Arabidopsis thaliana: one gene and its partner. Each later gene encodes a partner of the first gene's protein in a complex. Each region holds a gene or a part of one and is shown on either strand. Other genes may lie near its edges. A codon is read from its position in the direction of its gene.

Evidence for each region.
Region 2: the proteins of LSF1 (region 1) and BAM1 are in contact, whole or in part, in a cryo-EM structure (PDB 8J5D), measured with the Arabidopsis thaliana proteins. Residues at the interface, in NP_566139.1 of Arabidopsis thaliana: Met72 (codon at 3,850), Asn73 (codon at 3,847), Leu74 (codon at 3,844), Glu76 (codon at 3,838), Tyr77 (codon at 3,835), Met78 (codon at 3,832), Val79 (codon at 3,829), Arg112 (codon at 3,643), Ile113 (codon at 3,640), Met115 (codon at 3,634), Lys122 (codon at 3,613), Leu131 (codon at 3,586), Arg157 (codon at 3,346), Phe266 (codon at 3,019), Pro267 (codon at 3,016), Glu270 (codon at 3,007), Tyr271 (codon at 3,004), Ala274 (codon at 2,995), Leu275 (codon at 2,992), Arg277 (codon at 2,986), Ser278 (codon at 2,983), Gly280 (codon at 2,977); in NP_189034.1 of Arabidopsis thaliana: Glu208 (codon at 2,296), Asp212 (codon at 2,284), Thr235 (codon at 2,215), Leu236 (codon at 2,212), Pro237 (codon at 2,209), Val238 (codon at 2,206), Lys240 (codon at 2,200), Gly241 (codon at 2,197), Arg242 (codon at 2,194), Thr243 (codon at 2,191), Gln246 (codon at 2,182), Asp250 (codon at 2,170), Arg253 (codon at 2,161), Tyr306 (codon at 1,789), Ser309 (codon at 1,780), Ser310 (codon at 1,777), Lys312 (codon at 1,771), Ala313 (codon at 1,768), Glu316 (codon at 1,759), Thr317 (codon at 1,756), Tyr318 (codon at 1,753), Trp362 (codon at 1,621), Gln365 (codon at 1,612), Met366 (codon at 1,609), Asp369 (codon at 1,600).

Annotation. Positions count from the first base shown.
Region 1 is NC_003074.8:197,620-203,636, forward strand, and holds LSF1 (uncharacterized protein), read right to left. Parts: upstream 4,124-6,017; 5' UTR 4,064-4,123; coding exon 3,749-4,063; intron 3,693-3,748; exon of another isoform or gene 3,662-3,692; coding exon 3,555-3,661; intron 3,409-3,554; exon of another isoform or gene 3,393-3,408; coding exon 2,933-3,392; intron 2,833-2,932; coding exon 2,764-2,832; intron 2,669-2,763; coding exon 2,547-2,668; intron 2,456-2,546; coding exon 2,240-2,455; intron 2,136-2,239; coding exon 2,030-2,135; intron 1,918-2,029; coding exon 1,805-1,917; intron 1,630-1,804; coding exon 1,485-1,629; intron 1,359-1,484; coding exon 1,236-1,358; 3' UTR 703-1,235; downstream 1-702. Other genes in the region: CA1 (carbonic anhydrase 1), read right to left, coding at 33-254; AT3G01513 (uncharacterized protein), read right to left, coding at 4,449-5,099. UniProt on the Arabidopsis thaliana protein: Starch granule-associated phosphoglucan phosphatase involved in the control of starch accumulation. Participates in the regulation of the initial steps of starch degradation at the granule surface.
Region 2 is NC_003074.8:8,639,211-8,645,175, reverse strand, and holds BAM1 (beta-amylase 1), read right to left. Parts: upstream 3,996-5,965; 5' UTR 3,455-3,995; coding exon 2,862-3,454; intron 2,325-2,861; coding exon 2,114-2,324; intron 1,991-2,113; coding exon 1,880-1,990; intron 1,790-1,879; coding exon 977-1,789; 3' UTR 727-976; downstream 1-726. Other genes in the region: AT3G23910 (reverse transcriptase-like protein), read left to right, coding at 5,832-5,881, 5,962-5,965. UniProt on the Arabidopsis thaliana protein: Beta-amylase activity. Can use p-nitrophenyl maltopentaoside (PNPG5) as substrate only in reduced form. Can play a minor role in the starch degradation and maltose metabolism in chloroplasts during the night. More active on phosphorylated glucan.

The DNA of each region.
Region 1 (6,017 bases):
TAAGAAACAGTGATGAATGTAAAAATGTATACCCAATAAGGGGCAATGATAGGAGCAGGAGCGGCAAAAACTGGCTCGTTACGGATAAGCGTTGGAACGGAACGGGAAGACGAGGAGGAGGAAGATGAGGAAGAAGAAGAGGCGGGTGGGAGGCAAGCGACGGTGGAAGAAGTACGAAGAGAGAGTTTCTGGAGAGAAGATTGAGAAGGAGAAAGTGAAGTGAGAAAGAAGCCGGAGAGAGGAGCGGTCGACATTTGTTGGCGAAGAGAAGCGGAGATCAGAGAGAGTGAGATATGTGTATTTATAGTTAGAACTAAGACTCTTATGGAAGCTACTATATACTTAAGTGAATAATGGGATTGGTTGAAAGATTTGGGAGTTTAAAAGAACGGAGTCTCATGGTCATGGTGAGGTTGTGGGAACGAGGATAACGAAAGCGATAGCTGCGGTGAATAACAAACTTTCTTCTTTTCTTGTGGATGAGGAATATTAGCTCAAGATTTCAAAACTTTTACGTGCTCTTTTCTTCTTTCAATTCTTTTTTTTATAAAAAAATAAAAGGTCTCAGAAAGGTTTAGAGGATAAGGTCCCTTATCATGAAAACAAGGATCAGCCTCTTTCACTTACCCTCTCAGGCTCTCATCTTAAATAATCACCACCCACTTTAGATGTTAGGCCATTTGTTTGTGGTATACATATAGAAAGATCCATACTTCTCTAGGCTCTCTCTAGACCAGAGATTGCTATTGTATACACAATCTAGAAGATGCAAAGGATTAACATCGATCATGGACTGTTCTACTCTACGAAACAACAGACTCAGTGAAAACTCTTAGCATGAAAATGAAGAGGAAATAAAAAAAATAGAGAAGAAGGGTCTCTCCTCTCAGACCTTCCATGGCCATAAATCATCATATAGGCAACATTAGATAACAGAGTTTCTATTTTCTTCAACATGTTAGGAGAGAGCGAGAGAGAGAGAGAAAATGAAGAAGAAATACAGAGACCAGTAACGCATTAGGGTTGGTTTTGGGACTTATATGTAAAGTGGGCAACGGCGAAACTATGTCGACATTTTTTCATGCAAACACACAACATAATGTCAACATTCTCTTGTCATAGAGTGCGCGAATGTGGCAATGTTGTTCACAACGATATTAGGGTTAAGTACCTCGAGGAATGGATAGAGACAGAAGAATGGATGTAACATTTTAACTTATGCCAAAACAAAACTTCTACGACTTTGGGCATAGTCTTATTGGACAAACTGAGAATGCGATACACCGAGCTGCTTTCGCCAGCCTAAATCTTTCGCTCTCTGTTAACACTCTCTCGATCACCTTTATGATATTTGCATCCTGCAAAACATTGTACAAGTTGCTTCAGGTTTATGTCTTGAACCAATCAGGCAAATATAACGTGGAACATCTTATTCAAGCTTTTCCTATTGTATGAAGAAGAGACTACTGCATAGTAGGAGTAACCTTTCTTGGTTGTTGAATTGTAGGCCTGACGTTAGCAACATCACCAACTACAATTATATTGTTCGTGTTTCCTCGGTCATCTCTTTCCGTTGGTGAAGTTGCTGAATGCCTCCAATCACCGTTGATTATGTACTTGTAGTAGTATCTGCCACATTGTCAATAATCACCAAGTTATATGACACAAATGCATTTTCATAAGTTTCTTTGCAGTTTGCAATCCCTCAAAAGTCACAATTAACATGCAGGGAAGATTATGAGACGTTTTACTGTTGAACCTTAAAAAAAGCATCAACGGGAAAGGTAAAAGAAGCATGACTTACTTTCCCTGTGTAAGTCTAACTTCAGTTTCAAAACGTGGACCGCCTTTGTGCGTTGCTTTTATCGGTTCTTTCCAATTTCCTGTGAAATCCCCAACCAACAATACCTCCTCCCCCTGTAAACCAAGGTGTAACTTAAAACACAGAGGCTAGTTGCTCAACCCTACAGATCACGAGTTCCATAAAGAATTGCAGCAAAGTAATAAAAGCATGTGAAGCAACAGTCACCTCATGTCCATTCCACACAAAGGTTACAGAGTGTGTTGGAGTCCCATCATGTTTGCCATCGTCCACCATAGCGATAAGATCCCATGTTGCCCAAGCAATTGCAGGTCTGTGAAAAAATACATATAACTTGTCTGATGTTTTCATTAAAACAGAAAAGCTATCCATGGTCTGCAGGTTAATGGTCAAGACAGAGATAAGATGGATAAAAACCTGTCAGGTTTGCAAGCGTGCAATCCAGTAACGAAACTATAAGCAGCATGAAGAGAGGTATCAGTCATCCAGTGCAGATAAGCAATCACACAAGCGGATGACCGGTCAAAACCAGTGGTACAAGTTACAAAGACACGATGGTTCTTTTTCAGTAACCGTAGTAAGAGCCCAACACAAAGTGGTAGCTTCTTCCTAAGATCAAAGGAATCTGCATCCCTGGCACCAAAATATCAAAACTGATTAGAGCGGTAGGAAATGAAAGCATGAACGCACATAATGTGCCTCAAGGCGATATGACTTTGCATACTTTATAGGGTAGTTGATCATTAAGACTTCAGATTTCTGGCATGCATCATTGATACTTTGTGAATCGATCCCCCAGTTTTGAGCTTCAGTTCCACCTTGGAAATTTAGTATGGCAGTAATTCCCTGTAGAAAGAAAAGTATGGCCAGTTAAAACCATACTTTCAATTCTATCATTTGCATACCATAGGTAGGTAATATAAGTCATATAAAAGACTCACAGCTTCCGACAAGTTTTCCACATCCTCTTCTGTTTGTATGCAAGAGCCAACATATATTTGCTCTGTAATCTGAAAAAAGGCAACAAGAGAAGAATGGTGTTTGAGAGATTGAAGAGACAGAGAGAATCATGAAACAAGAGTAATCGGGAAAAAGAGACAAATTTCAGACCTTACTGTAGCGCATTCCAAGAGCATGGTTATAAGAAAGCTCTCCTTTAGAACGGTCAAGGGCTTTGATGTATTCCTCTAAAGGGAAATTCCCATAACCCCATTCCCCATCTCCAGGAACATCTTCTGAAAAGACAGAGACCAGTGGACTGATAGGTGGAGAAAGAATGTTCTTCTTAGTCCCTGACTGAAAGGAATTGCTCTGTCTATTCAAAAGTTTCCATCCCTGAGGAGTAAAGAATTTGGAGGAAAACGCAGCATAGCCAGAGTTACCACTGCCTTGTGATGATGCTCTGAGATTCGATGATAAGAGGTTTTTGTTCCAAGTAACAAAAGACACACGCCCTCTGTTATAGAGCAAATCAAGGTCGCTCAAATGAAGCAGATACTGAATGGGAAAGGGAGAGAATGGTCTTTCAAGAACAAGGCTAAAGGATCCAGTTTTCTCTACCAGCATCTTCCTGAATAAATCAAAAACTGGAAGAAATAAAAAAGAAAATTTCAAAAACACTGATATGCAAAGTGTTTCCATGCTAAATCTTCCCATGTTAACTAGTCACCAGCAATGTTTAGTTAACAACATTAACAAGTTATATAGAAGCCTAGTACTGTACAATTCTTACTTGGTATCACCAAAATCCTTGATTTCCACAAGAGTACCACCAGAAGAATCACTAGCCTTCTTGAGTGTATCTCCTACCATGATGATTCTCGCCTTCTCCGCATTGCTCTACAAACAAACAAAAAAGTTAATAACTTTTCAAAACTCCTGAGATTACTACTACTTCCACATGACATTCTAAGGATCGGAGAATACCCCTTTTTTGATGGCGTGGACGAAGATCTTGCCATCTGCTGAAAGTGCGAAGCGAATCCCGAGGGGCTTCTCGAGAGTGACCATATACTCATTCAAATTCATTTTGAACGGAGTAGAAGAAGACGACATCGCAACAACTCTAAGAACGACTCTTCTTCGTCTGTTGAATCCGAACTTTTCCCTCGAACCCAAGTACGCAATTCCTCTTCCGTCGAATACACGGCCATTACCGCTCCGGAATGAAGATCCGATCATAATTGACGGACAAGATCGTTCGAGAGCTCCTAAACCGGAGATTTGTTGAAGAAACGCCATTAAACCGATCCAATAGAGATTTTTCCGAGAATGTGTGTGTATGGAAGAAGTTGGAACTGTGAGCAGAAAACGAGGCGGCAGAGGAAGGTAAGAAAGAAATTAGTGGTCCACGTGTCTTCACGTAGGTCCCGCTTTCTCGTGGAAGTATCTAATTTCCTTTTTATCAACACATGACACGTGTCTTTTCCTCTCAGTGAGAAAAAAAAAATGGAAAAAAAAAATATCAAACGTTCCTTTGAGTCAACGCATTGAATTGGACTTCAATACACGAAACAAAAGTTACATGGAAATATTTATAAATACAATATTTAAACAAGTACCTAATTGCTATTATAGTAATTTTTTGTCCAGTTGTGTAAAACTATACAAATTAATTGAGCTTCAATTAACGACGTAACCCTCTAATCACGGCGAAAACTCCGATCAAATCTTGCCGGTAAGGCAAATAAGATTTTCTTCTCTTGTCACCTTCCCCGACCTTATACGACACCGTTTTGTTCTTAACTTTCACGGTCGGCGAGCTCCTCTTACTGGTGTCGCCGCCGCCGTCGCTGTGGCTCCTCCGCTTAAGATCCTTAAAAGTATAGCACCGTTTTGATGCACTTGAGGGCAAAACACCACCGTCGCTATGACTTCTCGTTAGAAATTTCTTCAAACGGCACCGTTTCGGTGTGCTAGTAGATGATTCTGAGTGTTTCGAAGCAGCCGGAGATCTGAGTGGACTCCACAGACAATTTCCGGGGAAACGCTCCGATATTTTTTCAGCGGCGGCTTCTTTGTCTGTCTTGTTAGTAGTGGAAACGACGTTGGTTTTGAACGTCGGGAAGTGGACGAAGGTTTCTTCATGTAACGGCGACGTTTCAAACTCGAAGTCAACGTCTTCGTCATTGACGGAGTTGACTTTAACGGACTCATGATCTCTGATATTGTAGCTTTCGTTTTCGCGGGAAACTTTAACTGCAGCGGCGGCGAATTCACCGGAAGCGTAGTAACTGAAGCTTGGGCTATACGACACCGTTGAAGAAAAATCCTGCATTGTTTTTTACGTCTTGTTTACGATTCGCGTCCCTGTAAACTTGCTGTGTCTATGTGTCTGTATATATAATGTCATTACATGTAACATGTGGGAGTGGTTTAGTTAGCTTGTTCGTCAATACTAGGCGATAAAACGTGGTCGCTTTCGAGGTATTTGTTTATGAGAATATTGAAATTATAAACGTCAATGCTGACGATGAGGGGGTAACCTAAAGTATGATTTTATTCTTATCAACCAACCAAATATGTTAGACGTGAAATCAGATTTGGCATAATCATTTTACGATTTCTGTAATTCTTTAAAGAATTGTGTGAACTCGTGATTTATTCTATTATAATAAAACCTATTCATCATATTCTGTGACTTTGCAAATACAAGAAATGTTTTTTTGCTGAATAATTTCCAAGTTTAACAGTTACAAACAAATGATTAGTCAAAATAACTAAAATAAATTAGTTATCATATGTTTCACTTTCACTAGGAGTCCAATAGTTGTTATCCTCTAAGATTAAACAAAATAAGCATAATTTAATCAAACGCAACTTTTAGCGAATTTATAAATGACTTTTCCGAACCTTGCTATAACAACTTTGCAATAAACATATTGTCTTTTGAACCCGTCGGCACTAAAATCTCCCTGACAAATGACTCAAGGCCAAATTAACATTCTTATTTGATAAAATTAGGCATAGAAACAAGCATGATTAAATAATTGTACCACATGCCAATATCCATTTCCCAACGAATAGCAACATTGAAGTCCATATTGGCATGTTCTGCCATATAAATTAAACATTGCTGTTGGAATTGTAATCTGTCATATTCTTCGAAGAATAATCCAAAGATTGCTTCTTTTAATTATCACTAAATATTATATAAAGATCGATCTCCATGTTACATTTCTCAATTTCATGTGGA
Region 2 (5,965 bases), 8.4 Mb from region 1:
AAAAAAACCTGCATTACACCGCTAATTTAAATATATAATTTAAATAAATATTTTACGGGATTGCAATTGTATTTTAGTTTGTCAAACAAATTTTTTTTAAAATAGTTGCCGAAATCTAGTTCAAATTTTGGAGAAATAAGATTTAGTGAATTGTAAAAAATGTATTTAGGTGCGTTTTGCTCATTTTAAGGAATTGCAATTGTATTTTGGTTTGTCAAACATTTTTTGTTTTAAATAGTTGTCAAAATCTAGTTCAAATTTTGGAGAAATCTGCATGATATATGGGATTGAAATATATTTGGAATGTTTTTCGTTTGTTAATCAATTTATTGCCAAAAAAAAAACAATAATTAAAAGCCAATGGCAACCATTATAAATAAATTCCAACTTCATGATTTATTTCACAAAATGACTGCAAAAATGTATATATATATATATATATATTAAATTGATATTTGTGAATTCTATTATATAACACATAAGTACAATTTACCAATAATATTATTTTGTTTAAAAATACATACAACCATAATCTTATTTCTACAACCAATTTCTTCAAATAATAATATTAAATTAATAAAACCTACAGCCTAATTTCTACAGCAATAAAATCTACAGCTACCACCATCACACATACAGCAAAAATTTTACAGTAAAAAATCTACAGTTACAGACAAACCAATCACACACATAATTTATCTATCATTTTATTGATTCAGAGTGATATGTATTAAAGAAATGCTATTTATTTTGGCTTCATTAAAGAACATGTACATCTTTTAGCATATATTAAAAGTAGTAGCATGCCACAACCTGACCGGAAAAAAACCAGAGCTGTGGCATACATTTCAGTTTTACTAACAATACATACACAAGCTCCAACAAGCCTAAACATCTTTTTTGGCATTGTCATATAACCATTTCATTATAATCGCATACAAACATAAACCATAGAACCATGCCACAATCTATCTCTCTAGTGAGTGAGAGCCACTGCAGCTTCTTGAACCAGCGGCTGAGTAACGTGCACAAAATGCTCAGCCTCACGCTCAACTTCTTCCCGACATCTATGTGAGTCTCTCCCTTCACCCATTTTCTTCACAAACGCTACGAATTTTCCCCAGTTATCCGCCTGAAACAACTCCGGATTCATCCTTAGGTAAGTAAATGCACACATCTCTCGAGGTTCTCCCTCATTGTTTTGATCAAGGTTCAGCGCGGAGGCCTTGAGAATCTGCTCGTGTGCATAGTCGTCGTACCTAGGCAATGCGTTTTCACCAGCTAGAGGAACTTCTGCGGCTAGAGTGGCTAGAGCAACTTGGTTAACTAGCTTCTCTGGTGCACAAAGTGCGTCTTGAGGCTGTTCGTGATCCCTCATCTCGATACATGTGAAGTTGAATATGGCATTGTGTCTGGCTAACATTTGGGCGATCGGGAGGTACCCGTCTCTGAACCTTGTGTTGTAGTACCCTGCTGTGAGCTCAGGCGCGTGAGAGCGGGTCCCGTAGTGCCAGTGGATTCCAGCGATTTTGACCGATATTTTGACACCCATGTTTTCGAATATTGATTTGGCTGAGGATAGGATCCGCTCGCCGTGATCCAACAGCATCTGGGAGTACCATGAGAGGAAGAAATCTCCATACTCTGAGTTCCAACCACCACCTTCTTTTTTGAAGAACTGGGTGTCTTCTGGCCAGTTATTGTAGTGACCAGCATCGGTTGGGCCAGTACTGCCCCACTCTGGCTTCCCATAAGTCTCAGCTGCTGCTTTCAAGCTGCTTAACGAGTACTGCATCAATCATAGCAAGGAAAACAGTTTAGTATGACATTCGTTGCAAGATGAATCAGAGACTATTCATGTGTGATTTGTGGTAAATACCTTATCATAGCACTGGAAGGCTCCAATCCCTGGGAACTTCCATGTCCCTTCTTGCTCGGGGTACGAAGGGTAACGCAGCTCTCCTGCAGGTCCCATTCCCACTTGGATTTCCTGTTAAAAAATGAATTCAAGGCAAACTCAGACTTCCAACCAAACATAGTAGAGAAATTGAGAGAGTTAAAGAGGCATGTTCTAAAATGAAACACGAAATGGATAAGAGAAGCTAAAACATACCACAATGGTCTCTCCAAGAAGATGCTTGAAGTTGTCTCTAAAAGCACGCATGAAATCCGCATAGCATTGCACAGGTGTTCTACCTTTGAGAACAGGGAGTGTATCAGCGCCAAGTGATATATACTCATGGTTCCTTCTTCCCCACTGATCAGTGTATGCAAGGTCTGGATCCTTGTCAACCTCTTCAACAACCCACTGAGGCAGAGGAATACTGGAAAAAAATAAAAAAAATTCCATATTAGAACATACAAAATCTCATTAGTGAATGATAAGACAATGACATCTTCACTCCTATATGAAGTAACTCTATATTCAAAACAAACAAATAACTCATTAGTCAATCTAAAAGAAACGTCTTTATACAGAATCCATCTTTTGTAATCAATCTTGAAAGAGACATAAAGGCCTCAAAGTTAAGAGTTTCGTAAGGAGAAAACAACAGAGAAAAAGACGAACAACAAGTCGCTCAATATTAAATTTAAGACTCTCACGCAACAAAGAAATAGATGTAACTCGTACACTCTTAAACCTATCACTTTCTTCTTGAATATTGTATCATCAATTCCCGTACACGTTACTCCATCAATCAATTAAAAAAATGAACAATCCTGCCTACTCAAACTTCAATCATTCAGTTCCAAAATTGGTCATAATCTCAAATCCTACTTCTAATCTTTCCAATCTCAAGTAGCCTTAAAAATGATACACGAATTAATAAGTGATTGAGCAAGAGAGAAGAATCACGTACGTGACAGAGTCACCAACGTTGCCACCACACTGATGAAACGACATAACAGCTTGAACCTTAAGACCAAGCTTCTTAGCCAGCTCAAGCAATTCATTATAACCTCCCCAATTATAAGTTCCAGGAGATTCCTTCTCAACCAAACCCCACCACACATCAATCATAATCCCTTCAACACCAGCACTCTTCAACGCTTGCAAACTCGCTTTCATCGCCTTTCTTCGATTCACCGTGTTCCCCATGGTAACACTATCAAGCGGCATCATCACAAACACAGGAACACCTCCTCCTCCTTCTTTCTTTCCACCAATCCCTCCTTCTCTATACGTTCTCTGTTCTTCAATGGTCCCGATTCCATTCTCCACCGCGAAAGCTTTACACGCCACCGACAGATCCGCACGTGTCGCACCTAAAATTGGACTCATCGGCGGTGATGGATCTGTTCCGTGAGCCTTGTAGTTTCGATTCATTGCTTTAGGTGTCATCATTCTCGCCGATGGTGGTGAAATTGATAACAACGATGAATCTGTCATTTCACCGGATTTGATCGGAGTTCCGGCGAGTACTCCTAGCTGATGCGATAAATTAAGCGCCATTTTTCTCTCTATACGCGAGAAAACGAATCAAGAATCGATCGTCAGAATATTCCTTTTGACAAATTTCAAATTGTTTTTTTGAAATCGGAAGTTTTGTGTGACGGAGGAGAGATCGGAGAAGGAGGAAGAGAAGATAATTTATAGGGGAAGCATAAAAAGGATAAGATTAAAATAATGTTTTTTATAGAATAGGTGATCGTGTGACACGTGTATAAACGTATGATGTGGATAAAGACACGGTTAAGATCTAAAAGAGTCAGAATGGACGGTGGGGTTAGCAGAGCGCGTGAACTTTCCAGCAGACGCGCTTTTAGCCTCAGAATATTTTTTGTGGTTACCAAAATAGAGTTTTATTTTATTTATTATTGTTAAGAGTATAAATATGACTCACGAGTTTATAGGTGAGATAAGCCTTTTTCTTACAAGCAAACGGTGATAGTGTTCTACAACGTTCTCTTTCATGAAACGTACGTTTTTCATATTGGTTTGTTATGTAAATAAATAAATATATGAAGGAAACAAATATGTATGTAAAAGTGAATATATACAAGTAGTGTTTTCCTAACGAGTCTCTAATACGTTCGTCTATTATCGTTAGAACAAATGGTTTAGGTGTTGGTTCGAGTTATTTCGAGAACATTTAGAAGCTGACCTATGAATCGCTTTACAAATTATTGCTTTTTGTCAACCATTAAAAAAATTATTGTTTCGAAACTTGAATGCTTTGCGCAATCCTTGATTTGTTTTGGCTGTCTTGTAGAGGCTTTTGGGATCAATTGAAGGGGTGAAATGTATTTATTAATCTACGCATGTACAACTTTGAGCAGAAAACAAGGTATCACAGTGGATACTTAGATACTAAGTGAAGTAGAGAATTAGAGATGGTCACATTATTTTTATTCCACGTGAGATCACATGATGTACAAGAATATGAACATATAAGCAAATTAACTAGTTTCTGCTATGTCTATGAGTATATTTTAGAGAATACGAAATCAAATCAATTTAATAACTCATTATAGAATTGTATCGTTGAAATAGGTATGTCAGTTTATTAGGGTATATTTTTAGACTGACTTTTTTTTTTTAATTCTGATGAATACAAGTAGTTTTCGATTTTTCTTCTCTACAAACAGTTTTTTTTTTTTTAAAAATCCTTCGATTCAAGTCAATAATCTAATATGCAATATTTTTTTATATATGTACACAATACTTTAAACATAAAAAGGAATATCCTTGACGAAAAAAGAAGAAAAAAATGTCTAACATAGATTAATAGATAATACACGGACACAAAACAACATGCACGAACAAACAAAATGTTGAGTGGTGGAGAAAGTAAACCAATATTGAAGTTTTCCTCTGTAAGCTTACCACGTGCCATGGTGATGTGGAGTGGCAAGTTCCCACCTTTTTGGGATGACTTTTCCTGAGTATTTAAATCAATCCAACGGCTGGGAATGAACCGATTCGTTGCTCGTCAAATCTTTTAGGACAAAAACTGTTTGCCTTTTACAAGATTGGATTATGGATTTCTGACAAAGACTAGAACCTTCTTTTCCTTTCATGAAAGATCAATGATTCGTTTAAAGAGTAATTAAGATGTGAAGTATTATTAATCTTTTACACAAAACGCAATTAGTAGAAACAGATTATGTATTTGTGTGACATGATATTAAGATCACATTCACATGAAAGAGTTGTTGCAATCCACTTTGATAACTGCATCAATCAATCTCATCCCTCTAGCTGGCAGTTTCTTCACCGTTCTTGATATTATTATTGACTCCATTTGATGTACAAAGATATATCCAAGTATATAAATATTCGATACAATCGGTACAATAAGAATAACTATATGTAAATATCAAAATCTCTACCCTGAAGTAAGGAAGATTTTTTATTGGACATTTTAATGGGGGCAGATTTACTGAAAGATAAAATAAAATAAAGCAGATGTGGCTACTAGAGGGTCGAATTTGGGAGCTGAGGGAACATACTCACTGATATATAATTATGATTTTGATTAAATTTAATTAAGTTTTTTTTTTCTTTTTTTTTAAAAGGGGAAGTAAACGTTACAGATTAAAATTAAAGAGTCTTCTGGTTCAATACGTTACGATTGGTCATAATAAATTGAACCGGAATTGCAATTAACTTCAACCCTCTGGGTCAAATTGATTCAAATAGAATTCAGGGGTTAATGTTGAAGAAAAGTATAAACCTCGGGGAGAGTTATGTTTCTCTTCCGTTTCTCTTTCACCTTTCCCATTTGAAAATTGAAATCGTCTTCTCTGCTTTCAACTTCACAACTACACTCTCTTCAGTTCTCTAACAGTAGCGCCAAAATGAATCCCCAAGACTAAAGCTTTCTTCAATGGAAGAAGAAACCCACGACGGATCTCTCGATCTCCAAGAGATTCGCAGGTTTTCTACTTCTCTTTCGTCTCTTTCTTTCATTGATTTTTGTGCTGCTTTGTTCATCTATTTGTTCTCATTTTTCTCAGGCGC